7 linked regions of the Rattus norvegicus genome follow. The protein of the gene in region 7 interacts with the protein of the main gene of each other region in a pairwise test. Links are inferred from orthologs where the notes say so. Each region holds a gene or a part of one and is shown on either strand. Other genes may lie near its edges.

Region 1 (3,679 bases), on a different chromosome or scaffold from region 7:
AAGGCCCTGGGTTCAGTCCCCAGCTCCGAAAAAAAAGAAAGAAAACGAAAAAGAAAAAAAATTCAAATGGTAGGATCTCACCGGAAACATCTAAACTCACATTGAAGCTCCACTCAATGTTTTACATGAAAGGAAAGAGAGGCCTTGGGCTCATGACAGAACCAAAAGTGGAGTGCGTATGGTAAAAGCCAGTGGCAGTAGGTGGAGCTTCCTAGACCTCATGCTCTGGTGGTAGGCAGAGGAGAGCACAAGGCATCGTATAAAGCTTCTCTGTAGCGCTTGCTCTTTGACTTGAGCAAAGCTGCTTTGTGCATCCTTGTTCCTAGCAGTATTCAAGTGCTCTCAGCTTTTTTCTGACCATCTTTTTGTGACTGTTGTGTATGCTCTTAGATAAAATACTTGGTCTTTGTCCCATTCTTCAAAAGTAGAGAGTGTTTAGAATTGACTGCTTTCAGGTCTAATATCTGAAGGCATCCTTCAGTTCTTCCCTCATTTGGAGTTCTGGGCTATTCGGTGGCGTGATTGCTGTTTTCTTCTAGACAGGGTCTTAGTATGTAGCCCAAGGTGTGAACATTCTGATCCTAGAGCTCTACCTCATAAGCATATCACCACACCTGACTGGTTTCTTAATGTTGGATTTGTCCTGGTTTTTTGTTTGTTTTGTTTTTTTTCTTTTATTCCCTCTCCTACCAGTTGGTGTTTTCAAAATCTGAATGACTCTCCAAGAAGTTGTCATTGTGTTTGCTTTTCTCCCATCGATATTGGAAAAAGGAAACGCTTTTTTTCTCTCTTCTACAAGCCATGGCAGTTCTTTCTCCTTAGTTCCTCAGCATTTGATTCCAGCCTCACTGGTGCAACTGTGGCATCCGGCTGGCTTCTCTGGACCTGTCTTACCTGATGTTTTCTCTTTCCATGGATGCTGATGTTATGAAATCAACTACCTCACTTGCTGCCACTGCTTGTTTGACTCCTGTCAGCTTGCTCTTTGTCACGTGCTAACTGTGTCTAGCTTAATTACAAGTGGACATCACACTCGAGGGCAGACATTGCCAATATCGTCTGAACCCCTTGAACACCCACAGACATAATCTGCTAAACACCTGTCGAGTTGAATAGAAGTGATATGATACAGTAGCATGGGTTGAAGTGCTGTGTTTGGTTTCTTTTCCAGTGGGCATCCCTACCATCAGATGGTGTGGGGCTGAGGGGGACTACAATGTCATGGTGATGGAGCTACTGGGACCCAGCCTGGAAGACCTATTCAACTTCTGTTCAAGGAAGTTTAGTCTCAAAACTGTTCTGTTGCTTGCTGACCAAATGGTAAGCAATACCCCTTTTCCTGAAGTGTTCAGGCAGTGTAGCAAGCACTTGGCATGTGCTTGCTGGCTTACTAGAGTAAATTACTGGGTTACATTGGCAATGGTGGCTTGCAATCCCAGCACTCAGGAGGCAGAGGCAGACAGATGTTTATGAGTTTGTGGCCAGCCTAGTCTACACAGCAAGTTCTAGGCCCATAAGGGCTACATAGTGAAACCCCATCTCAAAAAACTAAACAAATTACTAGGTTGCCATATCTCCATTATTACATCCATTTGTGCATAGAAAGAAAGGGGGATTTGTTTAATCTTGGCCTCAAGATGATTGAATTAGAAAATAACTTCTCACGGGGTTGGGGATTTAGCTCAGTGGTAGAGCGCTTGCCTAGCAAACGCAAGGCCCTGGGTTCGGTCCCCAGCTTCAAAAAAAAGAAAAAGAAAAAGAAAAAGAAAAAAAAAAAAAAAAGAAAGTAACTTCTCTCCCCCCTCCTCCCTGTATCCATATCGAATGGACTTTCAGTTCTCTCAGGGAGTCCACATTTGGTAGCAACACTTGAATGGTTTTCATGAAAATTCTTGTTTATGACTCATTCAAAGTCCATCTGATGTGAACCATAACCAAGCAGCTTGCTGTCTTACCTATTCCTCTGGGAACTAAAGAGAAAAAAAATGTCTGGGCCTGTCGAGGGACAGAGAGTTGAGGATACCTTGAGAGAAGACTACCTTAACTGAAATCACTGCTCTCCAGAAAGTAGAGAAGAGAATGTGTAATGGGAGCCTCACTGCCAGGCAGCCTCCTTTTCCAGCATGAACCACTATGAGATTCAGTCTTACCTTTGTTTCTCTGTAGATAAGTCGTATTGAGTACATTCATTCGAAGAATTTTATCCACCGAGACGTGAAACCAGATAACTTCCTCATGGGGCTGGGAAAGAAAGGCAACCTGGTCTACATCATTGACTTTGGGCTGGCCAAGAAGTATCGGGATGCCCGCACCCACCAGCATATCCCCTATCGAGAGAACAAGAACCTCACAGGGACAGCACGCTATGCCTCCATCAACACACACCTTGGCATTGGTGAGCCCTGACAGAGATGGATCACTTGACGTTGTGTACCTTTAGCATGTCCATCCCTTAGATTAGGGAAAGTCCAACTTATGTAGCAGCCTAGGTGATGAGAGATGTGGAAGCTGTTAGCCAACCTTGGTAGCAGACAAGCAGAATTGAGCAACCAGAATCTCTGTATTGCCAAGTACAGTGGGGTAGCAGAAGCTGGCTTCTCCAGCAGTTCTTCAAGATGTTGATGTTGCTCCCCTGAAGTCTTAAGGGGGGGTTTCTTTAACAAATGTGAGGGACAACTTCTGGTGACATAATTCTGCAAGTATATTTTTCTGTTATTTTTGAAGTTTCTAATTTTTTGTTTGCCAGGTATTGATTTTATACACACACACATGCCATCCTTGACATAGTTCCCTTTTTCTTCCAGAACAATCTCGAAGGGATGACTTGGAGTCTCTGGGGTACGTGCTGATGTACTTCAACCTGGGCTCTCTCCCCTGGCAGGGGCTGAAGGCCGCCACCAAGAGGCAGAAGTATGAGAGGATCAGTGAGAAGAAGATGTCCACTCCAATTGAAGTGCTGTGCAAGGGCTATCCTTGTGAGTCCCTCACATCCTTGCTGCAGAATTTGCTGGGGCATGCCAGCAGCCACCTGTCCCAGTGCTGACTAGATGCTCATATGGAGAGCCTCTGGCTGTGCTGTCAGACTTGCTCACCTTCTGAGAAGAGTTACATGAAATGGGCACTTATATGAAGGTGGCAGTGGGACCTGCCACCACCACCACGTCATCCCACTCCCAATCCCTAAGCACTTTGGTCAAGGTATTCTGTGGGGCCCAGAAGAGACTGGAATGAGGCAGGACTGAGCCTTGGGAAATGACCCCCATGACTGGGGAAGGAACACAGTAGTGGGAGGCCTAAGGACATCTAAAACTGACCATCTTTACCCTCACCTCCTAGAGCCATTTCCGAGGGAGTTTTCCTGTTGAGGGAAATTGCTCCTGGGATAAGAATGCCCTCAATGTCTAAATTTTGCTCTGGTGTCTGACCCTTTGGAGGATGTGGAGGGTGCAGGATATGGAATCCAGGGCCTCACACGTGCTGTGCAAGCCTTGACACATTCTACCATTGAACTGTACCTTTGCTTACATGCTGAATTTATTTTCCAAGCAGTCTCCCTAAGGCCTGAGTTCCTAAATATGACTAGTCTTCATATCTCACCTTTAATGTCTTTAGTGTATGGCACTGTGGGAGGTGAACTGGATGAATTTGGCAACAGTTGGTAGTTCCGGGCTAGCTTTGA
Region 2 (4,444 bases), on a different chromosome or scaffold from region 7:
GTTTTTACACATGAAGTGATAGTTCTTTATTGAAATCTTATTACAGCTGGGCAGGCACAAACCTTTAATCCCACTACTTGGGGGGCAGAGGCAGGCAGATTTCTGAGTTAGAGGCCAGCCTGGTTTTAGAGATGAAGTTTTAGGACAGCAAGGGCTACACAAAGAAAGTCTTTCTACTTATCTAGAAAAACCAAACCCACAATAACCCAACCAAAAATCCTACTACACTCTAAAAAGACCAGCAGGATATGTGAGGACGGCCGTGCATGCCACTGCCATGACTCCCTAAGTTCCTCTTCTCCGAACTCTTCCTTACCGACTTCTTATCATCTGTCTGTCACCACCCATCCATCCCGGCAGAACAAGCCCATCAGGAAGCCACTACCTGAGGCTGAGGCCGAGTTGCTCAAGTTGACTTTGAACTCCTGGTTTCAAACAATTCTCTTGCCTCAGCCTCATAATTACGTGGAACCACAGGCCGGTGCTGTCCAGCTTCACTCGGTTTTTAGACGTAACTGCTACCTGTTTTACAGATGTCAGAAAGCCCACAGCCCACACTGTTCTTCACATCCAGGCCATGTGACTTTCAAAGCTGAGCCTGGGGTTTTTTGTTTGTTTGTTTCTTTGTTTGTTTTTAAAGATTTATTTATTTTACGTGAGTACACTGTTGCTCTCTTCAGACACACCAGAAGAGGGCATTGATGGATTCTGTTACAGATGGTTGTGAGCCACCATCTGTTGCTGGGAATTGAACTCAGGACCTCTGGAAGAACAGTTAGTGCTCTTAACCACCGAGCCATCTCTCCAGTCCCAAGCCTGGTTTTTTTTTTTTTTTTTTTGGTTCTTTTTTTTTCGGAGCTGGGGACCGAACCCAGGGCCTTGCGCTTCCTAGGCAAGCACTCTAACCACTGAGCTAAATCCCCAACCCCTCAAGCCTGGGTTTTTTAAACTGCCTCTTCCCCCCACACTAACTTGGAGCAGATGTTAAGGTGGGAAGGATGGAAAGGTGGACAGGTGGACAGATGGATGGAATAAACAAATGGTCTGTAGGTGCTCGGCAAAGCTAAAACGGATCCCAGCCTCACCCTGGCACTGCCTCAGTTGGAGTCTCCAGGTGGTGCTACCACGGACGACATGAAAGAGAACAAGGGTGGTCCTAGCGGAAGCCCAGGCCTGGACCCACCTGTGCCTATTCATCTAGCACCTTAGCATGCAGGGCACCAAACAAAGACCAGCTAAAAACTTAGCTCGGCTGCCTACTTGGCAGGCAGTGGACTTTAGGGAAATATTTGACAAATGGATGACCCTGCTGAGGGTTCCTTCCTTTGCCTGGCGACCCGGGCGGTGTTATCTTCCCGCTTCAGGACTTTAGAGCTGCAGGGAACACCCTGGGCGTGGCGAGGGCGGGGTCCCGGATCAGAGGGTGGAGCCTAGAGCTGAAATATCCAGAGTGGGGCGGGGCCTGCGGCCCGGGGGCAGGGCCTGGAGCCCGAGGGCCGGTCGGCCTCATAGGGCTGCCTGGCTGCTCTAGGGAGTTCGGGTACCCTAGCGCTCGATCCAGGAGAGGCTGCGGCCGGGTTGGGGCGCGGATGCTGGAAGTTCACATCCCCTCGGTGGGGCCCGAGGCCGAAGGGCCCAGGCAGAGTCCAGAGAAAGGCCACATGGTGAGCAATGGACGAAGAGTACGTGCGGGGCTCTCCCGAATATCCTCGCGACCAGCGCAAAAGGGACCCAGAATTCAGGGCTAGGACATTCGTTGCAAAGGTTCGGGGTTACTTGGCTTTGCCAGTCCCTTGGACGATGGTCTGGGCTCTTGAGGGATCCGTGGAGCAGAGGGGAGGGCCCGTCAGCCTTTTCTTTCAGGTGTGAGTGGGGTTCGGAAGGGGTTTCCCTGAGCGGTGGCACGCCAGGTCGGCTTTGTGCCTTTCAAACACCAGAAATTGGGCGCGTCTCGCGGCGCGGGTCCTACTGCATCCTTTGGACCTGCTGCCCGCACTTCTCCGCCCGCCAGGTGTTCCAAGTAGAGGTGCTGTACAGCGGACGCAGACACACGGTGCCGCGGCGCTACAGCGAGTTCCATGCTCTACACAAGCGGGTGAGATGTCGCGGACTACCCACCGATCTGGGTCCAGGCCAGGTCCCTAGGTGGCATTCGACAGAACTCTGATCCCAGCTTCTGGTTGGCCACCCCCATTACTGTCCAAGTCCCCGGGAGGGTGCAGATCACAGGCGACTACCCAGGGCTGCAGGGCCCCTCGCGGGGAGGACGCAATGGCTAGATCCCAGCTCAGACTGACCTTGTCCGGGTGCGTCCTTTCCACACTCTGGCTTGTCACTTCTGTCCCAACCACCTCTTGCCAGCTGTCCCAAGTTGAAGCTTAAAGACATAGAGGACGGGAGAAAGTCCTCAGCTAGGTGCAATGGGCTTGAATGCTGGGATCTCACCTCAGTGACTGATGTACTACAGATCAAGAAACGGTACAAAGTGCCTGACTTTCCCTCAAAACGCCTGCCCAACTGGAGGACCAGAGGACTGGAACAGCGCCGGCAGGGCTTGGAGACCTACATCCAGGTGTGCACTGGGCACACTTGGTTGCCCCTAGCCTGAGGGACCATCGGTGACCCAGTTAGAGATGTGGGAGTGTGTTGAGGTCCACAACTTTGGGCTGTTATTCAGTATCTCGGGCTCTGTTTTTCCAAACGAGTACAAACTTTTCTATCTGGATCACTCAAAGTTTTGAATAATCCAAGTAGATTCTTCACTCCTAGGCTAAGAACCTGTTTTCTTTTTCTTTTTTTTTTTTTTTGGTTCTTTTTTTCGGAGCTGGGGACCGAACCCAGGGCCTCGCGCTTCCTAGGTAAGCGCTCTACCACTGAGCTAAATCCCCAGCCCCAAGAACCTGTTTTCTTAATGAGGTATGTATGGACTCATCCCTCTAACAGTGGCAACCGCCGTTGCTGCCCACATCGTGGGGCCAGTCTTTGCAGTCCATACTGGGCCATTCCTTAGAATGGCTCTGAGTTCGGTCTAATACTTGTTCCTACTGCCTTGAAATTCTTAAATCATTTTGAAACCAATGTCCTCAAAATTTTTGCAATGGGTTGTGCAATTAATACTGGATCTGACTGAAGACTTCGTCTTCTCTAGGGCGTCCTGTACCTGAATCAAGATGTGCCCAAGGAGTTACTGGAATTCTTGAGACTTAGACATTTCCCTACAGACTCCAAGGCCAGCAGCTGGAGGTAAGGATAGCTCTGTGGAGAGGTGGCAAGGGCCCTCAGCCCACCCTCAGCCACAAAGAGGTGTAAACAGAACCTGAAGGTTTTCAAATGTACTGGGCCCTGGCCTGGTTCTGATACACCACCTCCCTCCTCACCTTTCTAGACTTGGAGCAAGGCTGGGTTTTGGTGGACAGCTTTGGTTAGTTCCAACAGCCTTGCCTCCACCTCCGGAACTGGGCTTGTTACAGAATAGTCCCCTGGGCTGCTGTCTCCACCAGCTCCTCACCTCCCCTGGGTATCCTCCAGCTACTTAGTGTTTCTTTTCTTTTCAGCACCCTGGGGGAATTCCTGCCTAGTGACACCAGGCAAGGCAAAGTCCTACCTTAAAGGCCTGCTGACCCCTGGTGGTTACGTGCTAGGAGGCAGGCCAGCAGCCTGTTTTCTAGCCCCTTACTTTTCCTTTTCGGGTCCCTGCTGATTTTGGTCTTCGTGCCTCTACTCTCACTAACCAATCTTCTCACAGCTCACAGCTGCACCACCGGCCGGTCATTGGCTTCTGCCTGGATCCCTACATTCACACCCCTTCCCCAGGTGAGACTGATCTAAGTTCCCGTCAGCACCCGTGCCTACTGTCCTCTGAGGGTTACCACCTGCTGCTCCTGTAAGTGGCAGCCTGCTTTGTAACTTCATAGAAACCAGTGCAATACAGTTGCTTCACCAGGTCTCTGTTCCCCCGGGGAGTCTCCAAAAGCTAGTATGAACAGATGTGGATGAGGGAAAGCCTCTTTTCTCGTAGACAGCTGGGCCTGTGGGCAGCTCAGTGCTGTAGGCTCAAGGCCAGGCTAGCCCCTTCTTCACTTTCTCTCCCACAGCACCTCTCCCGGAAGTGGTGGTGGATGGTGTACTCCAGGGTCTCTATGGCTTCGGCACCAGCACCAGCCCGGCAGCAGCCCAGCCGGAGGCTAACTGTCATCCTGCTCCATCACCAATGCCCTGACAAGCTCAGGCTTTGGGCCACCTTTCAGGACAGTTATGTGCCTCAGTCCTAGGACTCCTATAGGAAACTGGGTCTTCCCTTGGACTAGATTCAGGTGTAACTTGCTGAGGCTCAGTCGTGCCCATCCCCACTCAAAGCTCTGAACTTGGTTTGCACTGACAGCTGTAGCTGGTAGAACTCAAGACTTTTAGGCTGAGGAGATTCAGGTGTATTTTCTAGCCCAGC
Region 3 (4,153 bases), on a different chromosome or scaffold from region 7:
GGGAATGAGGCTTTGTTCAGGGGTGGACTCGGTATTTCTCAAGAACCTACTGTGTGCACATTACGACTCCTTGAAGTGAAGTCCTGGGCTGGCTCTGACGCTACAAGGTGTCCAGGACACGGCCCCTTCCCGCACCTCCCAGGGACTTCCCACCCCTTCGTATGACCTCAGCCTGCTTTGCCCACCCACCCAGCTGACCCCGAGAGCGTGCTCAGGCTTGGAAAAGCACGTCTGTGGGTGTGAGAGACGGAGCCACAGCATAAGGTGACTATGGGGAAGCTAGGTAAGTGTCTGCACTGGTTCTACCCAGGCTTGGGGACGCGAAGGAGTGTGTCCAGCCGCGCCTGTTGGGCTGCCCGCCCCTTTCCCTCTCCCCCGGAGAGCTCTGATGTTCCCCGCGGTGGTGGTAGAGGGTGTGTGGGTGTCAAGGACTCACAGACCAGGCTGTGCTGTCAGCTGGAAATGGATGAGGGTTCCACACTTGGCTTCTGAAAGAGGGCGAATTGGGAGCTGGGGTGGGGGGCGGTAGGTGAAGGGCAGAAAGAGGAAAAAGAGATGCGGGTGAGGGGTTACGGAGCCAGGACCGACCTTGCTAGGAAGGAAAGGAGACGTGGCAAGCAGGGAAGTCGGAAAGATGAGGCAAGGGCGGGAGGGGCTTCTTAGCAGTCGGGGCCCTTTCGCGCGAGTCTGGGGCCCTTTCAGAGGAAAGGGGGTGTTGTTCTTGCTTGAATTTTTCGGTTGGTCTTCCCGAAGCTTTGCCATGGGGGCAGCAGCCTGAGGAGGGTGGGGTGCCCCCTCGGCCCTCAGTTTACTGTAGCGGGTGCTGGAGAGGTTAGGAGGGAAGAGAGATGTAGAAGGGTAATGGTCAGGGCGGGGGCGCGCTAAGATTTTTCAGGGTGGGGGTCTGCAGTGAGGTGCTGGGGCTTCAGGGTCAGGTCACCATGGGATACTGGCTCAGGCTCCAAAGACCAGGAGAAAATACTAGAAGCCGGCAAAGAAAATCATCCCCCGCCACCACCCTTGGCACCGTACCCCTCCCCCCAGGCCCCACCACTCCCCGCACCGCCTCCCCCGGCCGCCTCGTGCTGCCCCCTGCGTCGGGACGACCGACCCACGATTCTGATTGGTTGGAGACCGGGAGGGGGAGCCGAGGGCCGGATTGGCTGGCGGGGCCAGCGCAGGGCGGGGCGGCTGATTGGCGGAGCTTGCCGAGGGGCGCGCCGCTGATTGGCTGGGGACGAGGAAGCAGGAAGGAGGGCGGCGGAGGCTCCGCTCTCGGGGAGTTTGTGGGGGAACCGCGAGCGGCGTAGCGGATCCCGGAGCCCGGCCCCCGCTGCTCGCCCGTCCGGCCGCCTGCCCCGCCCGTCCGGCCCTAGCCGTCTGCCCGCCCCGGCCAGGCGCGCCCGCCCCCCCCCGACGGCCCCGCCCGACCGCGGCCCCCGCTCCGCCCGCCCGGCCCTGGCCCCCAGGAGGAGGCGCTGACGCAGCAGCGTGGAGCCCGGGAATTGAGCGCCCCCGGGGGGTTCCAGCCGCCGGATTCCAGCCCGGTCAGGGCCTGCGGGCGCCCAAAGCCGCGCCGTCCGCGCCGCTCGTCCCGGTGAGCTAGGAGCTGGGATCCAGGAGGGGGAAGGGGAGGACGAACGAGCGAGAGCGAGCGAGCGAGCGAGCGAACGAGCTAGGTAGGCGGACTAGCAAAAGGGAGAGGACCGGCCGCCCGTCAGCGCGCCCCGCCGAGCGCGCCGCGCCGCCGCCCCCGCCAGCCCCGGGAAGGGACGGACGGACGACAAGAAGCAGGTGCGGCTGCCTGCCCGCCCGCGCGCGCCGCCTCCCTCCCCCGGGTCCGGCGCTGCGGTCCCGCCATCGGGGAGCACTGCGCGCCTCGAGGTGACAGCCCCCGGGGGGCGCCCGCCTCGCAGACCGGGGGCGGGGTGGGTGGCGGCCGCAGGGTGGCAGCTTGGCCAGGGGGCGGCGGCGCGGGCGTCCCGGGCTACGGAGGGCGGGAGGACGCGGGGTGCTTCCTCGCCGCGGCGGAGCCGGCTCGCCTCCGAGTGCGCGGGCGGCAAGGCCCCCGCCAAGCCCCCTCCCCCATCGTGGTCCCCGAGGCTAGGGGCCGCTGCTGGGGGCGTCGCCGCGGGAGCGCCCTCTCGGGGTGGGGGGCGCCCTCCAGGGTTGGGAGCTGACCGGCAATTGCCGGAGGGGGGGTGGGGATGGGGGCCGCGTCAGGGCGAGGGGTAGTGTGGACCGGATCGGGTCGGGCTGAAGGAAGGGAGGCGCCGAAGACGGAAGGGGACCGGTTCGAACAGCGAGTGTGGGCCGCGGGAGGCCCTGTGGGGACCGTGCGGGGCGGCGGCCGAGTCCGAGGTAGGGCGGGGGGAATCGAAGTTGTCAGACCGCCTCTAAGTGACAGCGGGACCCGGTGCTCCAGGCCCGGCCTGGTTGTGCCCTGCCAGCCCCGCCGCCTCTCCTCTGGGGCCGGGGGCCGGGTCAGGTCGGGCCCAAGGGGCCCGCTCGGCGGTGAAGAGCCGGACAAAGGCGGCGCCCAAGCGGGCGCAGGTAGTGGTATCAGGGAGGGGAGCGAGTCCGGGGCACCCACCCCAAGGGGCGGGCACGGGGCCGGACTCTGCCCTGGGGACTGCGGGGGCCGGGGCGTCCACCGGGAGGAGCTGCGGCACTGGCTCTGGGCTGTAGCCGCAGATATCCTCGCGGCTCCGGGAAGAGTGGGGTCGACTTAGCCAAGGCGGAGGGGCAGGGTTGGGGGGTGTGCGCACCGAGTGCCCTGGCCGGTGGCGAATGGGCTGGTGGACTCAGAGGCGAGCAGAGCCTGCTACCAGTGAGAGGCTTTCAGCAAGTCTGCCTATCGATAGAGGTTTAACTCCACCTGGGATGTCTCCTAGTGGCCCATTGTCGGCAATCTTAAGAGCACAGACGGCTACTTGGATTGGGACTAAGGGACCCCACCCCCAACACACACACCCACTGTGCTTGGCGATGCCTTCACTATTGCTGTAGCAGTTTTCCTTAGGCAAGAAGGTACCCACATAGGGACAAGATAAGCTGAGTCCATAAATTGAGGCAGAAATTTGATGATGACATAAAATAAGGTTTCCAGCTCTCTTTTGTACCACCTGACACGTTTCTCCCCAGCTTCTACACCTCCATAGTCTTCTACCAAAAAGGAAAAAGCCTCAGGGGGACCACATTTCTCGGGGACACCACTGTCCTAGGACACTTTGGAATCTCTGGCTTAAGCTGTGAGAGTACTGCTAACCCCAGCGGTGAGCAGCTCTAGGCTGTATGCTGTTTATCCGTTTGTGAGAATCCACTCAGCTCCCGTGCCCCTCCTCATGTGATTGGGTTGGGAACAGGAAGAGAGGAGACTCAGGCTGATAACAGCTGAGAACATGGCCTTTTGCTGAGAAAAATCTGGGTTGGAGTGGCACACCAGTGGGACTGGTCAAGAGCAGCACTCGGCTGTGTTTGGCTCTAAGCCCACCTTTAGGAAGCTGCTGTCTGCCAAAGGAGCAGGAACAGCAGGGGGTGGAGTTCATTCAGAGCACCCCATCTCTCCCCAGGAGAGTCTGGACCCCAGTTTGGGTGGAGTCGAGGCTTGTGAGGAAAGGGGGGTATTACTTCACACAAGAGACTGAAGTTTGTTTGAGAGAGTTTAATTGTATGTCTAAATCCAGAGAAGGCTGGAGAATCTCTTTTGCTGGGGTTGTACTGTACGAGATTTCTTTTGGTGGCAGTCAGAAGGGTGACCTGGTTTGGCTGCTGGAAGGTGGGAATTGCCAAAATAACATTTCCCTCTGTGACGGGGGCTTAACCTGGCAAGAGATACTTGTCAGTCAGATGAATGTTTAGGACTGGCTCTGGGGAGTTGAGCCATTAAAGAGATGTGTTTTCACTCTGCATTTCTTCGGTCCCTCTGCTCTTTGCTTTCTCCTATGTCTCATCACTCCAGAACTGAGGCTAGCCTGGGACTTGCAGGGAATCTCCTCTCTCTGCCTCCTGGTGTGCACTACCATTGCTGGCGTTGGTTTCTTCTTTTCAGTGTCTTTCCCTTCCTTCTGTTGCCATGTTCCCCGGGTCATTTTCCTCTTGCTTCCTCTGGCTCTTCTGATCCAGTCTGTACACAGCTACCAGATCTTTCTCC
Region 4 (4,338 bases), on a different chromosome or scaffold from region 7:
AGGACAAAGACAGAACTTGAGGACAGCCTGGCCTACAAAGGGAGTCCAGGACAGCCAGGGCTCTGTTATACAGAGAAACTCTGTTTCCGAAAACAAAAATAACAACAAAAATATCACACTCTAGCCAGGCATTGGTGGCACACACCTTTAATTCCAGCATTCTGGAGGCGGAGGCAGAGGCAGGTGGATTTCTGAGGTCAAGGCTAGCCTGGTCTACAGGGGGAGGTCTACAACAGGCGCAGAAAAGCCCTGTTTAGAAAAGGAAAGAAGGAAAGAAGGAAAGAAAGAAGAGTCATGTATGAGAAGAAATGAGTTTTTTTCCTCCAAGATTCCAGAAATTCCCCAGTGTTGAAAAAACAATGTAGACAGCCTTTCTCCAAGACAGGAGACAGCCTGACAGCAGACAGGACACACGCTGCTTTAGCAGGACTGTGTGAGCAGCAGTCTTAGTCCACTTCATGCTCAGCACTGGTCAACACTCCCTACCCAGCTAAATGGCTATGTTTTTGGGGCAGACATCATAAAGGGGAGTACAAGCTAGAGATCTGTGGTACCAGCCTTATGGATGAACATGGGAGTTAAGGATTATTTTTTACAGTCATATGCTATAGTGGCAGAGCCTACCTCTCTGTGGTGCTCTAAGCAATGTGACCTTGGCAAGGCATTTGTTGAGACCTTTCATCTGTAAAATGAAATGGCATATTTACCCCTTGGGTAAATGACAACATGGCAATGTGACTGGGCCCATAAATATAGCTGTTATTATCACGACACTCCCTCTCTTATCTGGCTCCAGCAACTACTTCTTCAGTACATTGACAGGGACTTTTTTTAAAATTTTTACCTTATGTGCAATGGTGTTTTGTCTGCATGTATCTCTGTGTGAGGGTGTCAGATCTCTTGGAACTAAAGTTAGACAGTTGTGAACCATAATGTGGGTGCTGGGAATGGAACCCCGATCCTCTGGAAGAACAGCCAGTGCTCTTAACCACTGAGCCACCTCTGCAGCCTCACAGTGATGGGCACTACCTAAAGAAAACACTGGTGCTTAGAGATACTTTTTAAAGAGTCTTATCAAAGCCAGGCACGATGGCTCACACCCATAGTCTCTGTACTGGAGGCGGAGAGATGAAGTATTTCAGGCTAAGATTCTTTCTCAAAAACAGATGCACAGGGGCTGGGGATTTAGCTCAGTGGTAGAGCGCTTACCTAGGAAGCGCAAGGCCCTGGGTTCGGTCCCCAGCTCCAAAAAAAAAAAAAAAAAAAAAACAGATGCACATATACGCAAACCACAGGCTTGGAGAGACTGGTCAAGCATTTGTAACACCCACGTCAGGTGACTCACAACCATTGGAATTCTAGCTCTGGGGCATCTGGTGCCCTATGGACTCCACGGGCAACTCCTTGAATACGATGGACATAAAATCCATGCAGCACATACACGGAACTCTTTTTAAATCTTACAAACAAACAAAAAGCCAGCATGCTGAAATAATTCAGATATATGTCGAAGTTTAAATACCCAATACTTATTCATATGCCTCAAACCTAAAATACTTACAAAGACTAGTTTAAATAGTTTTACTTTTTAGAAGCTTTAAAGCCAGGAGGTAGTGGTGTAGCCCTTTAATCTCAGCACCTGGGAGGGAGAGGCAGTCGGATCTGTGGGTTCAAAGCTGGCCTGGTCTACAGGGTGAGTTCCAGGACAGCTCTGCTGTCTACACACACACACACACACACACACACACACACACACACCCCAAGTTGGTTCCACACACCCCAAGTTGGTTCCTTCCTTCCCCCTATCTGGTCCATGAGGTTTGATGGAAAGCATCTTTACTTGCTGAACCATCTTGCTGGCCCTTTTTTTTAAAAAGTAATTTTGGTTTTGGATACAATGTTTCCTATAGCCCCAAATAGCCTAAAACTCTGTACAGAGGCAAGGATGGTCTTAACCTAGTGGCTTTGTGTATATTGGGCAAGCATTAGACCAGCTGAGCTGCATCCTCTGCCCTTGTTTTCGGGAGACATGGTCTCACCGTGAGTTCAAGGCCGGCCCCATGGTGAGAAACCCCTGATCCTGTTTCTGCCCCCCAATTGCTGGCATTACAGACATGTCTACCACATCAAGCTAAGTCAATACTGCACAGTCACTCATTAAACCCCATCTTCCCCTCATCTGAAGTCATCCTGAAATCTGCACCAGTAGCATAAATACTCATTTTCTACAATCATTGATGATTTAAAGCAGAAAGCCAACACATGTCTTACTCAGAACCTACCTATTAACTAACACATTACATAAGTTCACTGGTTTACCAGACTATTTTTTTTCATTGTTGAATGCTTTTATATGGGTGTTATTCTGTAGCTCAGAATGGCCTCAAATTTATGGCCATCTTCCTGCTGTCAGGACCTTAAGTGTGAGCCACTATATCTGGTTTCAGATTTATATTTTATTTATTGAGCACTCGTCTGGAAGTTCTGACACTCCTATACTTTTGACCAAAGAATGGTGTGTTGGAAACATCCCCTTTGATTGAGCAGCCCCTTACACACACAGGACAGTGAAGAAAGAGCTGCCCAGACAGAACCCCAAGATTAACCCTGGTGACCACTTGGCTACCAATGTCATAGCTGGATCACCAACGCATGCTATTTTGTCCCTTGAAAGAGGAGGACTGCAAAGTTACAATGTGAGTTTGACTTACATAGCAAAGACTCGCATTTACCTCACTAGTGAACATGGCACAGAAATAATCGCTGCAGGCAGCCAGCACAATCCGGTGGGCAGGGAAGTCTTTCTGCTCCACTCTCAAGGTCACGTCACAGAGGGTATTGCTCTTCCTGAGGGAGTTCATTGAGTTGAGGATGGACTTGGCGTGAGTATTTGTCATTATGTCTTTAGGGGCCATAATGCCGCCCATCAAGCGCTAAGGAGAAAGAACAAAGAAGTCCCTTGGACAGTGCAGCTACAAGGGAAAAAAGGTCACAATGAAGAAGTGGGAAACCAAACACACAATTAGCTTTACAAATTAAGGAACTAAAAGGGCTTCCTTAACCGCAAACTTCCACAAATATAGAGAGAGCACTTTTGACCCTGGCACCACCACAATCTGGCCAACAACGACTCCAGTAAACATTACCTCATTCTTCCTCCAAATTCCACGTTCTATATCTTTGGATTCAACCAAGCAAAGCACAAAATATTAAGAACTAAAGAACTGATTTTGAACATGTATACAGGCGTTTATAATTTTCCCTAGAGAATACTACCTCAGCATTAGCACTGTTGTGATAAAAGCACCTTGGGAGGAAAGGGTCTATTTGCTTACATATCCTGAGTCACAGTCCAGTGAGAGGTGCAGAGGTGGGAACTAATATCCAGGAGGTAGGAGATGATGCAGGGTCAGTGTCAGTGCAGCTTACTGACGTGCTCCTCATGACTTGCTCAATTTCCTTTATTTCTTTCTACTTCCTTTGCTTTGCTTTTTGACTTTTTTTCTTTTTTTTTAGATAGGGTTTCTTTGTGTAGCCCTGGCTATCCTGGAACTCAATGTGTAGATCAGGCTGGCCTGGAACTCAGAGATCTGATTTCCTCTGCCTTCCAAGTGTGGGGATTAAAGTTTGCATCACCACCAATCAGTCAGCTCAGTCTACTTTCTTACAGAGGCCTCTAGCCCAGGAGTGGCAAAGTGAAAGAAGCCCTCCCCGGCCAATCACTGATTCAAAAAATGCCCTACCAGCTTGACTGCTTGCAGCCTGATCTTCTGTAGGCATCATCTTAATTAAGGCTCCCTCCTCTCAGAGGACCACAGCTTGTGTCATGCTGACATAGAACTAGCCAGCACAAATATAGTACAATAAGTTTACTGTTTTAGGCATAAGTAATCCAGAACTTGTCTTGAGGTACATGGGGTGTGCATGAGGTATACGCAAACACCATGCACCTAACTACATGAGTTCAGAGCCAGGTGCAGTGGTATGTTCCCTGCAATCCAAACACTCAGGAGAAAGAGGTAGATTGCTGCAAGCTGGAGCTCACCTTGGTCTACATAACATGTTCCAGGCCAGCCTGGGCTCCATAAAGACACTCTGGTGTCAAACAACAACAACGACAACGAATTAAACCAAAGAAGACCACCACACTCAGATTTTTGCTCTTTCATTTTTTTTTTTCTTTTTTTTCCGGAGCTGGGAACCGAACCCAGGGCCTTGTGGTTGCTAGGCAAGTGCTCTACCACTGAGCTAAATCCCCAACCCCTCAGATTTTGGTATCTATGGATTCCTGGAACCAATTCCTTCTGGGTGTCAGAGAATAACCAGAATTGCAAAGTT
Region 5 (3,679 bases), on a different chromosome or scaffold from region 7:
TTAGCTGGGCACATATGTAGCTGGAGCCTACTTTCCAAGGGTAAAAGTTTTGTCTCAGTACCAATTGGGTTAACCAGTTATGGTGTCTCACATAACCACAGGCCCGCTCAGATAGTAGAGGCTGCTTCCACACACAGTCTCAGTTACAAACCCAGGCTACCATACAAAGAGGAAAGATGGATTTGTTTCCCAAATATGGAATTATAATTTAACACATACTTGTGTCTCCAGTGGCTTTACCCTGGTCTGAAGCTGGGAATGGGGTCCCCATGTTTGACAGCGAGTCCTGTCCTATCAGTGACAACTCCCAAGTGTCCACCTGGAATAGTGCCTCCTTGCTGAGTGGTTGGATCCCTCCATGTTTCCAAGTGCCAGAGCACCCGCCCCCATGTGGCTCTGTGTGGGCATGTCCACATGGAGATCAGAGGCCAACTTTCTGAAACTGGATTCTTCTCCTACTGCACAGGTTTTGGGAAAGCCAGTCAACAGGCTTGGCAGTGAGCACTCCTACAGGCTGAGCCATCTCACCAGCTCTATTTCTTTTCTTCAGTGCCAGGGTCCAGTCCCCTAACAGGATCTCAGATCCCAACACCAAAGTGTGCTTGGAGTCTCAAAACCACTGGGAAAAAGCCATGGCCCTGTCTAGCACCTGTCTGCTGGTACATTCGGTAGTAGCGTCACTCGTCAGTGCTCAGTGCCCTGCAGCATTGGCAGAGTGAACCCCCCTGGGCCAACCTATATGAAGACCTGTTGTAGCAGGCTGATACCTGTTCACTCTAGTCTGGTGCAAGAGTTTGAACTCCATTTTTTAAAGCAAGTCACCTTGGGAGGACCTGAGACTTAGGAAACAGTCATTTGGCAGTGGGAGGGATCAGAGGAGTACAATTCTTTTCTCCCAGTTCTCCACAACCTTATTTGAAAGACTGAGAATGCTCAGACAGTGGGTTGTTGGCACACACTTGTCGTCCAGCACTCTCGGAGGTGGGGGCAAGAGGCTCAGGAGGTCAAGGTCAGCCTTGGCTACATGGGGAGCTTGGTGTCAGCCTGGCTACATGAGACCTGTCTCAGAAGGAAGAGGAGGAGGAGGGGAGACGCAGGCAAAAGCAAATGGGCTACAGCAGGAGAAGCAGAGGAGACACTGCCTCGTGCACAGGCAGTTCTGTGTTCTGGGGGACCAGTCACCAGGGGAAGATAGGCTCCAGGTTGCTGACTCCAGGTCAGATGCCACCCTCATCCAACATCCTCCCAAGGCCATCACAGATGCGACACAGGTGGCTCCGGTAGGGCTCTACTGGACTGTACAGTGCGGCCAGGAAGTCGCCATTGGCAAAGTGACTGAAAATGTGATTGATGCGGCCGTGTGACTTGGCAGTGAGGTGCAGGCCAGTGGCCTGGTGCAACAGATCCCTGCATTCCAGCAGCCCGGTGGCCAGCACACACCGGTCAAAGGTGAAGTCTACCTGGTGAAAGCTGAGGACTGTCATGGCCAGGCTGTGCACCCGGCTCCGGAAACGCCGCAGCTGGGCTAGCGCGTTGCTGTCCAGCTGGTCTGCCCGAAGCAACACAGCCAGCTTCACGGCCACTTTCACCAGGTTCTTCACCACCCTCTGTGCCTCCTTCCGGCTGCGGGTAAACTCCTTAGTGGCCTGGTACAATTCATCCAAGATCTCACTGCTGGTGTCATCCACAAATACAGCCACCATGGCCTTGGAAGCCATCTTGCTGAGGACTTTCTTCTGGGCCTGCAGGACCAGGTTCTTTGTGCTGAAGGTGTCCATGGGCCCTGTCAGGATGACACAGTGCTCAGGTCAAAGGAATGAATCTGGACAGGACTTGGCACCATTCTGATTTCCCGGCAGCCAGCCCATGGTTTCCTAGCTGGGGAGTTGAGGCTTCAGATGGTTGCCATGGAGGAAGGAGCCAGGAAGTGGCCAAGAGGACAGGCAGGTCGGCTCCTGTGGAGCAGTCACCCCACTACCCAGTTCAAGCATTTTTAGAATTTTCCCAAATGACAGTACTAAAAACCACTGGCAATTCTCATGCCTCTTCCCTAATAAACTTCTGTAACCCCACAGAACTCTCTCTCCAAACCCCTGCTTCTTTCCTAGTAAACTCCTACATAACCTTCCAGTGCCCAAGGTCCCTGACTCTTCCCAGGACAGATTCATCGCTCAGCTCAGCCTGGGTATCTCCTCCTCTAGGAAACCATCTTAAGCTGACCTGCCGGGTACTTCCTCTGAGCCACACAGGGCTGCACAGCTGCAGGGTTGCAGGCCTGCAACCACCTCCCCCAGACCACAGAGGGACAGAGCAGGGCCTGGCCCCTCATCTGCTGTGTTCTTGGGGACCCAGAACCCTCTGGGAGTGAACAAACTTGGAAGAGCAGGATGGAGGGGACATGACCAGACTGGGCCCTTGGGTCTCAGTCTTGCCCCAGACGCTGGTCAGCTGTCCACTGCTCACCCTATCCTGATGGCCGGGGGCTGGGGGAGCAGCAATGCCCCCTTGCTTCAGACCACTTGCCCACTCCCAGAGTCCCCTACAATGCCTGTTTTTGTGTGAGCTCGAGCCCCGACCCCAGCCTCTCAGCCATCAGCTCCCTGACCTTAAGAGTTCAGGGCAGGCACAAGAAGGCTCTGTGTGTTTTCCTGCCCACAGCGCTCACCACCCCCACTGTCTGCCAGCCAGGGTCCACACACTACTGTTGACACAGGGCTACATGGCAGCTTGGCGCCTGCCACGTGAACTTATTTCGTTTCTTCGGCCAGTGCCATTTGCAACAAACAATGCCATCCAAGTGGCCCAGCTGGGAATGAATCCATAATGGTGGAATCTATCCCCTCAAAGTACACTGCACCACAGGGCCATACAGCAACAAAAGACAGTCTACCCCTGACCCCCAACACCACACCCCTACACTTGAGTCCTCCTCCCTCCTCCCTCCTCCCTAGTGTCTACGAATGGTGCTGAGTCTGAGGTGGGCAGAGCACTTGCCTGGTGTCGGTCCTCAGCTTTCAGAGATGACAGTAGGAGGGTCAGAAGTTCAAGGTCACAGCTGCATGGGGAGCTGGAGGTCAGCCTGAACTGCCCAACCCTCTCAAGAAAGGAAAGAGAAATAAGATGGAGCCTGAATGGGCCTCTCCAGCACCCTGGGGTTGTTTTTCAGTTGACGTTGAACACAGGGCTGCTAGCAGAGGAACAAAGTCTGATGTCCCCGTTTGACTCAGCGGCTGACTGTCTCTGGTCCTTGCTTTTCCCATAGACAAAGCTAAATCTGTTCTCTCTGGCTCAGAGGTGAAGCCGAGTGTGTGGAAGCAGGAAGAATGTCAGGGTGGCACAGCTGCAGTCCGTCATTCCCAGCTCCAAGTTGGCTGCCACCTGAGGCAGCCAGCTGCTGGCCTCTACTTCCTGTTCTGAAACCCATTGTTCTGACAAACTCCCCACTGGAGCTCTCCTTCCTGCATGACAGCCATGTGAGGCCTTCAGAACAGGGACTTTCCCAGGGAAAAAGTGCTGTGGCCTTGGTCCCTGCCAATTGAGTGTCACAGCACCCAAAGTCTGGTGCCAAAACAGTCTGCACTCCAGCTTCCAGAACTCAGCCCCAACGCTCAATTGCTCAGCTGCCCTAAGAGGCATTTATGGAGCACCAGCTGTGTACCAAACACAGAAATGACCAAAA
Region 6 (4,177 bases), on a different chromosome or scaffold from region 7:
TCTTCTTCCCTCCCCATTTGCTTTACAAGGTACTGAGTGACCGACAGGGAGCCAGCTACCAATGTGGACACTCAGGGATGAGGTGTTTTTTTCTATTTCTTTCTTCAACTGCCCCACCCCCACCCCCCACCCCGGTCCAGCTCACAAACCACTGCTAAGTGGCAAGGTATTAGAACAGGTAAAGCTTACAGTTTTGAGATCAGAAGGGGGAAGGTGTTTTTCAGCAGGTGTTTTCTTCCTTAAGGGACAAAAGTGTGGCTGGACCAACCTAGGAGAGAGAACTCCCCAGTGTCCTCAGGTAGCACATTCCGGAGAGTGAATAAGTCTGCGAGGGAGGCTGGCTGCGGGCCACAGGCGCACAGCAATTCAACAGGCTGATGGGACAAGATGCCATAGGCCTTAACCAGCAGGCAGGAATCCTCTTAGCTGTCACTCAAGTGCCAGCTGAGTCCTGCCATTAGCCTCTCTTTCCTGCTGGAAAAGCTGAAGCAAGCGTGACTTATCCAGGGTCACACACCAAGCTTGGGACCAAAATAACTCTGACTCCTCTTCCCTAGCTCTCACAGCAGACAACAGCGCCTTAGTAAGGCGCTATCATTCTAACCTGAATCATTTAAAGTACCCCTAATTGCAGGCCTACTGTGGACTGTAACCACCAGGTGACAGACAGACCGAGAGGTAGGAATGACTGAAGTTTTACCAATGGCCAAATCTATTATTAATATAATACACTGGGGACTGCGAGGGAGTTTGGGAAATGATGCTGACAGGCATCGAACTTAGATTTTTAAGGCTTGTCATGTCACCTCCAGTTTTGTTATAATATTGGAACAGAAAAAAAAAAACACTAGGAACTCAAAGGGATGCGATTCAGAAAGGCATTAGGGGGGTAAATCCCAGATATAGCTAAGTCTTCTCAACCTTTTTCTTTTTTTGCACCTACAAAAATCCCTGTGTTTAAACTTCCCTTTTAATTCTGGTGTTGGCAGCTGTGTGGGCCTGTGAGAGCCCTCGGAAAGAATATCAGGCAGACGAAAAGGGCCTGGGAAACAGTCAGGCATACCCATTCAGATCTGTACACGGGGCTAGACACGTGCTCTGCTCAGGAAGGAAAGTAAATTCCGACCAGCAAATTGCTCTAACTGATTCATTTGTCCTCTGAGAGACGCCACCTACCTGCTCCAAGGTATTCAGGTAATTGACAGGGGGCGGGGCCTCCTGGGCTGTTTTAGTCCCTAAAGTCTCAGCCAGACTTCCGTGATGTCACAGATTTCCTGTTCTGAGCCAACCAATGCCCTCCTTCTTCCTCCAGCCACCTGTACACCGAAGTTGAGACCAGTCACAGCTCAGGCAGCCCTAGAAGCTTCTGGCACAGGGATGGAGGCGGGCTGGTGACTGCTGCTTTGAAAGCCCCAGACATCTTTGAACAGGTGAGCAGGAACTATTTTTTCCTCTCTTGGTTTTTAGACCCCTGACCCAGAAGGGATCTAAATGAGGAATCTGAATGAAAATTACAAAAGAAAAAAGAAAAAGAAAGAGAGAGAGAGAGAGAGAGAGAGAGAGAGAGCGAGCTCACTGAATGGCTCAGTCCAGAGTAACACTCTGAGAGTAAAGATGTCTGTAACAGTCTTATTTGTGACCAGCAGTGTTGTCTCGGCCAGATATTTAATCATTTTTGTTTCCTGATTACTAATCCAGCCTCTGCTTGTTGTGAAGTTGATTTGATTCTTTTTAAAACCCCAGAGAAAAGTGAGATGAGATGCTCTTTGAAAGTTAGTTCAAATGTGCAGACCAGTCCAGCCTGTTTTGTGTGTGTGTGTGTGTGTGTGTGGTGGGGGTGGGGGTGCTGGGGACACTCACAAAATTCAGATTGTCTTTTTTTTTTCTTGCCTTCTGCATTCATCTCATCTGAAAAGCTGTAATACTTCCCTAGGTTTTGTTGTTGTTTACAACAGAAAGTCAGTACTAAAGCTGATAAATTCTGGCTCCCTGTTTATAAGTTCTCTCTCTCTCTCTCTCTCTCTCTCTCTCTCTCTCTCTCTCTCTCTCAAAAGCCTTCAGTTTCCTTTACTTGTGGAAAACATTTAGCAGTCTGGATTAGAACTCTGTTTACCTACTTTCAGGCCCGACAGGCTGCCTGCTGACCTTTGGTTAAAGTAAAGATTACCCTTCAAGGCCACAAGAATGTAGCCCCAGGTCTGGGTTTGAAACTCTTCTGTTGTTTCTACCTTGCTCTTAATATAGTAAATATATGGAGGAGACTGTTCTGCCAGGACCTGACTATAAAAGTAATTGTACCTCAAGGACCCATATTCGTTTTTCTAATCCTGATCGTGTAACCTGTTCTCAATGGGCAGGCACCCCCACCAGCTAATATGATTAACAAGAGCAGAGGAATAAATCCCCAGTCCATCTCCTTATCAACTTATCTGGGAAACTCGGGGAGAGAAATAAATGAACGAGTCTTTTCATTTCATAGGCCTTCGTTAGTTGCATTAGTTAAGTTAGCAGATGGCTTTGTAAGGAAATCATCTACTAGGAGTTAAGCCCATATACAGCCCTCTAGAAGTTAAAAGAACCTGCCAACTGTCCAAGAGTGTATGAACGGAAACAACTAAAAAGTATCGCCCTTGAACGGCTGCTTCTTTCTTCCTGGTAAGCATCTGCCTCCTGCTTGTTGCCAGTTTCTTTCTGATTCTTGGGAAGCTCATAGTCTCTTCTCTAGTTGACCTTTGTGCCTTATATTGTCCTCTAAGCTCCTGTGTTTGCAGAGTAACTGTTGTTGATGCCTTAGTAACATTCTCGGTTGATTCAGAGGTTTGTGAGCAAAGTGAGAAAAAGATTCCTCATAGCCTGGAGTTTTGTAGGTGTAAATTTGTCCTTGATGTTCCAAACCTCTGCAAACTTTCACACACACCCCTCTTTTATACCTGGTTAATTAGTCATTTTTACAACAATGGACCTATGATTAAATAACAAACTATTTTGTCATTGTCTCTAACTGCTTAGAAAAATATTATATATAATATATATTATATATGTATATATATAAAATCCCCCCCCCAATTCAAGAAAGAGAAAAAAGGGGACAGAAACCAGAGTCCCAGTGTCTAGCATAGGGGTCGAGGCAGCTCGTTGGATAACGTGCATGTGTCCTTGAGAAGTTGCTGTGACATCTCCACTAATTTGGGTGTATACAAAGTGCTAAAGGAAACAATATGTATTTCCTTAGCAAATTACTGGACTTCTCTGAACCGCCATTCCTTTCTCAGTAGGACGAGAGATAAGTACCATGTGCTATAATGTGGTTCTCTGAGTATAGGTGAGCTTGGAGTCAGGGACAAATAAAAGACAAGTTCCTCTCTGCTGGAAGAAATTTCCTGGGAGCTTAGAGGACTTGTGTGAGCCCATGTAGCTCTCCTGTGGCTGCAATGGTTCAGGACCCGGCTCTTATTACTGTAATTAATTGTCAGTAATTAACCCCACTGCTAACAGTTTGGAGAAACACAACAGTCCAGAGGGAGGAGAATGAACGGGCTGTCATTCCCTGAGCCAGGCAGCGTGTGCCTGCCAGCCCCCTTGGCCCTTGGTGAAGCAAACTCTGGAGTGGTCTCTCTTCCTTCTTGTGATCTCTTGACACATCCACAAAGTGTGAGTTCTTAAAGGCTGTCAGGAGAGGTCATCGTTGTTTGGAGGGCAGGGAGCCCAGACTGTTTTAATCATGCTACTACCCTGAGTGGCCTTGGGTACTTGGTCCCCTCTAATCTTGTAGGTAAACATCTTCCACCTCAGACTCCATGAGCACTTGGCCAAGCCAGTGTGAGAGGTGACAGATAATTTGCAACCTGTACCATTCTGTGGAGGGGGAAGGCTCGTGGGTCCTTTGGATAAGATCCACACATTTAAGTAGAGATTTTTTTAAAGATTGATCTATTTATTATATATTAGCCCACAGCAGAAAAGGGCTTCAGATCTCATTACAGATGGTTGTGAGCTACCATATGGTTGCTGGGATTTGAACTCAGGACCTCTGGAAGAGCAGTCAGTGCTCTTAACCACTGAACCATCTCTCCAGCCCCCAAGTAGAATATGTTGAACCTGTCAGTGACCTTGAATCATTGCATCAGAGCAGATGTGGGCCCAGACCCACTGCCAGCTTCTTCTGGTCCCACCTTTT
Region 7 (3,679 bases):
CCTTACACGGCTGCTCAGCTGCCCTTGCATGGATGGCCCTTTCTTCTCTATTCTACTCTGACCAGTCTCTCATGCCCTGCTGGAAGCAACATCTTGCTTTTCCTTGGCACCGCTGTGACCATTCGTTTTTTTTTTTCTGGCAGCTGGTATCGGCCGAGGGCTCACACCCAGAGCCAGCCCCTTTCTGTGCTGACAACCCCTCAGAGCTGCCTCCTTCAATGGAACGCACAGGAGGCATCGGTGACTCTCGGCCCCCGTCCTTCCAGTAAGTGTGACTCGAAGGTGGGAACGGCCCATGGGGAAGGGACAGCTTAGTGCAAACCAGGGCTGGGAAAGGGAGCCCCTAGCCCTCTCTCTTCTCCACCAAGTCCTCTCTACCCTTTAGCCCTCATGCTAGTGGGGGCAGCCAGGAGAACTTGGACAATGACACAGAGACCGACTCCTTGGTATCTGCCCAACGAGAGCGGCCCAGACGGAGGGATGGCCCTGAGCACGGTGTGTATTCTCACTTCTGGCTCCTCCTGGTAGCTTCTAGCCAGCTCCCTGCCTCTTTACCCTGCTTCCCGAGTTCTGGGTATGCCTGGGTGCTGTTCAACCCCTGGCTTGCTCCCTTCACATCTTGCTTTCCTTATATCCCTTGTTCCCTGCATTGAGCCTTGTATGGACCCAGCTGCCCATCTCCCTCGCAGCAGCCCGCCTCAATGGAACCACAAAGGGCGAGCGGCGACGGGAGCCAGGTGGCTATGACAGTTCATCTACCCTCATGAGCAGCGAGCTGGAGACTACCAGTTTCTTTGATTCAGATGAGGATGACTCCACCAGCAGGTGGGACTTGACTTTCATAGGAGCAGGGATGGGAATGGGGGGATGGATGGGTGTGTGTGTATGTGTGTGTGTGTGTGTGTGTGTGTGTGTGTGTGTGTGAGAGAGAGAGAGAGAGAGAGAGAGAGAGAGAGAGACCCATAAGGAAGTTTGAACCCCGCTGATTCTTCACCTCTGGAGGGATGTGGCCATTGTGGTGGGATCAGGGCTCTCCTGTGCCTCTTATGAGGCAAGGATGGGCCAGCCTGGTGGGGAACGACTTTGGGCCCCACAGGTTCAGCAGCTCCACAGAACAGAGCAGTGCCTCACGCCTAATGAGAAGACACAAGCGGCGGCGACGGAAGCAGAAGGTCTCCCGGATTGAGCGGGTATGGGCTGTTGGATATTCAGGAGGATGAGCAGGAGGTTAGACTGTAAGTCCTTCCTAGGCAGGACCACAGCTTTCTTCCTCAGAGCCCTTCTGTTTGGTTCGGTGTTGGGGAGCTTAGTGGGTAAGGGTGGTGTGCTGAGGAAGAACCGGGTGGGAACCCTCCTCCCCACCCACTCCAAGCACTGCTCACAGCCACTGTCTCTTCCAGTCCTCCTCCTTCAGCAGCATCACAGACTCCACTATGTCTCTCAACATCATCACAGTGACTCTCAACATGGGTGAGTCTGGCGGCACTTCCAAATGCCTCTCAGTGGAAAAAGGGGTTCTGGGAAACGCAGCGTACGTTTTCTGGGGTTTGGGGTGGGTCTCAGTGGTATACTACAAGGCTCTGGGGGTTCCGTATCCAATACAGGAAGAAAAGATATGTTCCCTATTCTGAAGTTGCGCGTCTGTAAATACTGCGTGAGACATCATATAACCATTTCAGTAGTTCAGTGTCAGAGCTGTGACAGGTAAACAGAGAACGATGGGAGCAGAGCACGGCACCTGGGAGGCTTCCTGGGGGAGTGATTTCTTGCCATTACATACTTCCTTACTCTTTAAAAGGCTCAGCAGGTGGGCCTGCCACTCACCCTGATGCCTAGAGTTCAGACCCTAGAATCTATGTGAAAAGAGAGGCTGACTCCTACAAGTCGCCCTCCAACCTGCACACACACACACACACACAAAACAAATAGATAAAAATGAAATAAAAAAATGTAAAGGCAGATAATATGACCAAAAGAGCTGTAACTTGGGAACTTAAATCTGAGTTTACTTCCTGATGCTTTCTGTCTTAGAAAGGTCACTTAGGTCTTGCCTGTCTGTAAGAGGGTGTTCAGAGTCGCTGCCTCATAACCAGTAGGAAAATCGAAAGTGTGTCTATGTGTATACTGTACAGTAATGTTTGCCTGGTTGTGATGTTAATTATTGCCCCTTTCTGCCCTGTACTAACAAGGAGCTGGGAATTTGGGTAGGAACCCTGCCCTTCTCAAGGTGTTAAATTATTCCCTGCAGAAAAGTATAACTTCTTGGGCATCTCCATTGTGGGCCAGAGCAATGAGCGAGGTGATGGGGGCATCTACATTGGCTCCATCATGAAGGGTGGGGCAGTGGCGGCTGATGGACGCATTGAGCCGGGAGATATGCTGTTGCAGGTATCGTCTACTACCCTGGGAAAACCCTCAACCCCAGCTCCCCTGTCCATCTCCTGAGCACTCCCTGTTTTCTCACTCCTAGCCCTCTTTCTCAGGTAAATGAGATCAACTTCGAGAACATGAGTAATGATGACGCAGTCAGAGTGCTTCGGGAGATCGTGCACAAACCAGGGTATGAACAGCATGGGACTGGGGGAAGGTGGGCCAGGCACTTCTGGCAGGAGACTTGGTCTGGCCTGTGTGCATCCTGCCTTTATTAGGACAACCTTGCTTTCAGGCCCATCACTCTGACTGTAGCCAAGTGCTGGGACCCAAGTCCTCGTGGCTGCTTCACATTACCCCGGAGTAAGTAGACAAGGGATCATCCGTAAAGTTGGTGTTGGCTGTATAAACCATGCTCCTCTCTTCTCCTTACATGTTAGACACTGTAATAGGCAGGGTGGGCAGCCTGTGATGACCCATCTTCCCTGCAGGTGAGCCCATCCGTCCCATTGACCCTGCAGCCTGGGTCTCCCACACTGCAGCCATGACAGGAACCTTCCCTGCCTATGGCATGAGCCCCTCCTTAAGCACCATCACCTCCACCAGCTCCTCCATCACCAGCTCCATCCCCGACACAGAACGTGAGTATTCAAGTCTGTCCCTTGGGCCACCCAGCAGACGGGCCAGGTGGGAGGATTGGTGGAGGGACCCACTGTGCATCGGGGGGAGCCTTCGAGGGGACACCGTAGCTCTTCCCCAGAGGGCACGCAGAGCCTCACTGAACACTGTTTGCTTCTTAACATACCATGAGCACCCACGGAGCCTCAGTTTCCTCTCATACAATGGGGCTACTAGTATATGCTTCCCAGGTTCCTGTGGGGTTCGATGAGAGGTTCTAACTAGAGCCTTGGTACTGCGTGACATGAGGGAGCACCAGTTTACTGTCATCCCATGTGCATGTGCTTAGGCTCCTCTGTCACATGTCCTTGTGAAGACACTAATCATTCATTTTTACAGGAGGGGAGACTGTCCAAGGAGTTGGTGGTGGGCTTGTCATTGTTGAGTGGGAGAGCTGAGATGCCACTCCTGTTTTCCTAACTCCACAGTGCCTCTTTGTCTCACTGCTCTGCCCCTTCCCCCAGGCCTAGATGATTTCCACCTCTCCATCCACAGTGACATGGCGGCCATCGTAAAAGCCATGGCCTCCCCCGAGTCAGGGCTGGAGGTCCGAGACCGCATGTGGCTCAAGATTACCATTCCCAATGCTTTCATCGGTGAGAGCCTTACTGCAAGATGAAGGACAGGTTGT

What was found.
Region 1: the proteins of Dvl3 (region 7) and Csnk1d interact in binary tests that used the Homo sapiens proteins (3 or more experiments, as listed by UniProt). The two-hybrid records come from large-scale screens. The link is inferred for Rattus norvegicus from reciprocal best matches to the Homo sapiens genes DVL3 and CSNK1D.
Region 2: the proteins of Dvl3 (region 7) and Snx22 interact in binary tests that used the Homo sapiens proteins (3 or more experiments, as listed by UniProt). The two-hybrid records come from large-scale screens. The link is inferred for Rattus norvegicus from reciprocal best matches to the Homo sapiens genes DVL3 and SNX22.
Region 3: the proteins of Dvl3 (region 7) and Bahd1 interact in binary tests that used the Homo sapiens proteins (3 or more experiments, as listed by UniProt). The two-hybrid records come from large-scale screens. The link is inferred for Rattus norvegicus from reciprocal best matches to the Homo sapiens genes DVL3 and BAHD1.
Region 4: the proteins of Dvl3 (region 7) and Klhl12 interact in binary tests that used the Homo sapiens proteins (3 or more experiments, as listed by UniProt). The two-hybrid records come from large-scale screens. The link is inferred for Rattus norvegicus from reciprocal best matches to the Homo sapiens genes DVL3 and KLHL12.
Region 5: the proteins of Dvl3 (region 7) and Tnfaip8l1 interact in binary tests that used the Homo sapiens proteins (3 or more experiments, as listed by UniProt). The two-hybrid records come from large-scale screens. The link is inferred for Rattus norvegicus from reciprocal best matches to the Homo sapiens genes DVL3 and TNFAIP8L1.
Region 6: the proteins of Dvl3 (region 7) and Lnx1 interact in a two-hybrid assay, tested with the Homo sapiens proteins (2 studies listed by BioGRID and IntAct). The link is inferred for Rattus norvegicus from reciprocal best matches to the Homo sapiens genes DVL3 and LNX1.

What each region holds. Positions count from the first base shown.
Region 1 is NC_086028.1:106,734,079-106,737,757, reverse strand, and holds part of Csnk1d (casein kinase I isoform delta), read left to right. Parts: exon of another isoform or gene 1-1,171; coding exon 1,172-1,320; exon of another isoform or gene 1,321-2,166; coding exon 2,167-2,395; exon of another isoform or gene 2,396-2,804; coding exon 2,805-2,975; exon of another isoform or gene 2,976-3,679. UniProt on the Homo sapiens protein: Essential serine/threonine-protein kinase that regulates diverse cellular growth and survival processes including Wnt signaling, DNA repair and circadian rhythms. It can phosphorylate a large number of proteins.
Region 2 is NC_086026.1:75,505,027-75,509,470, reverse strand, and holds Snx22 (sorting nexin-22), read left to right. Parts: upstream 1-1,531; 5' UTR 1,532-1,589; coding exon 1,590-1,664; coding exon of another isoform or gene 1,665-1,764; intron 1,765-2,011; coding exon 2,012-2,095; intron 2,096-2,467; coding exon 2,468-2,572; intron 2,573-3,148; coding exon 3,149-3,243; intron 3,244-3,554; coding exon 3,555-3,587; intron 3,588-3,745; coding exon 3,746-3,813; intron 3,814-4,094; coding exon 4,095-4,219; 3' UTR 4,220-4,412; downstream 4,413-4,444. UniProt on the Homo sapiens protein: May be involved in several stages of intracellular trafficking. Interacts with membranes containing phosphatidylinositol 3-phosphate (PtdIns(3P)).
Region 3 is NC_086021.1:126,345,124-126,349,276, forward strand, and holds the start of Bahd1 (bromo adjacent homology domain-containing 1 protein), read left to right. Parts: upstream 1-1,280; 5' UTR 1,281-1,597; exon of another isoform or gene 1,598-1,679; intron 1,680-1,685; exon of another isoform or gene 1,686-1,794; intron 1,795-1,841; exon of another isoform or gene 1,842-1,884; intron 1,885-4,153.
Region 4 is NC_086031.1:48,453,861-48,458,198, reverse strand, and holds the start of Klhl12 (kelch-like protein 12), read right to left. Parts: upstream 2,935-4,338; 5' UTR 2,934-2,934; coding exon of another isoform or gene 2,928-2,933; coding exon 2,733-2,927; coding exon of another isoform or gene 2,712-2,732; intron 683-2,711; exon of another isoform or gene 625-682; intron 1-624. UniProt on the Homo sapiens protein: Substrate-specific adapter of a BCR (BTB-CUL3-RBX1) E3 ubiquitin ligase complex that acts as a negative regulator of Wnt signaling pathway and ER-Golgi transport.
Region 5 is NC_086027.1:1,082,316-1,085,994, reverse strand, and holds part of Tnfaip8l1 (tumor necrosis factor alpha-induced protein 8-like protein 1), read right to left. Parts: intron 3,097-3,679; exon of another isoform or gene 3,095-3,096; 5' UTR 2,995-3,094; intron 1,784-2,994; 5' UTR 1,779-1,783; coding exon 1,218-1,778; 3' UTR 1-1,217. UniProt on the Homo sapiens protein: Acts as a negative regulator of mTOR activity.
Region 6 is NC_086032.1:33,867,246-33,871,422, forward strand, and holds the start of Lnx1 (E3 ubiquitin-protein ligase LNX), read left to right. Parts: upstream 1-1,325; 5' UTR 1,326-1,430; intron 1,431-4,177.
Region 7 is NC_086029.1:93,876,840-93,880,518, reverse strand, and holds part of Dvl3 (segment polarity protein dishevelled homolog DVL-3), read left to right. Parts: intron 1-143; coding exon 144-265; intron 266-385; coding exon 386-495; intron 496-689; coding exon 690-825; intron 826-1,096; coding exon 1,097-1,190; intron 1,191-1,400; coding exon 1,401-1,470; intron 1,471-2,248; coding exon 2,249-2,388; intron 2,389-2,483; coding exon 2,484-2,560; intron 2,561-2,665; coding exon 2,666-2,733; intron 2,734-2,861; coding exon 2,862-3,011; intron 3,012-3,512; coding exon 3,513-3,644; intron 3,645-3,679. UniProt on the Homo sapiens protein: Involved in the signal transduction pathway mediated by multiple Wnt genes.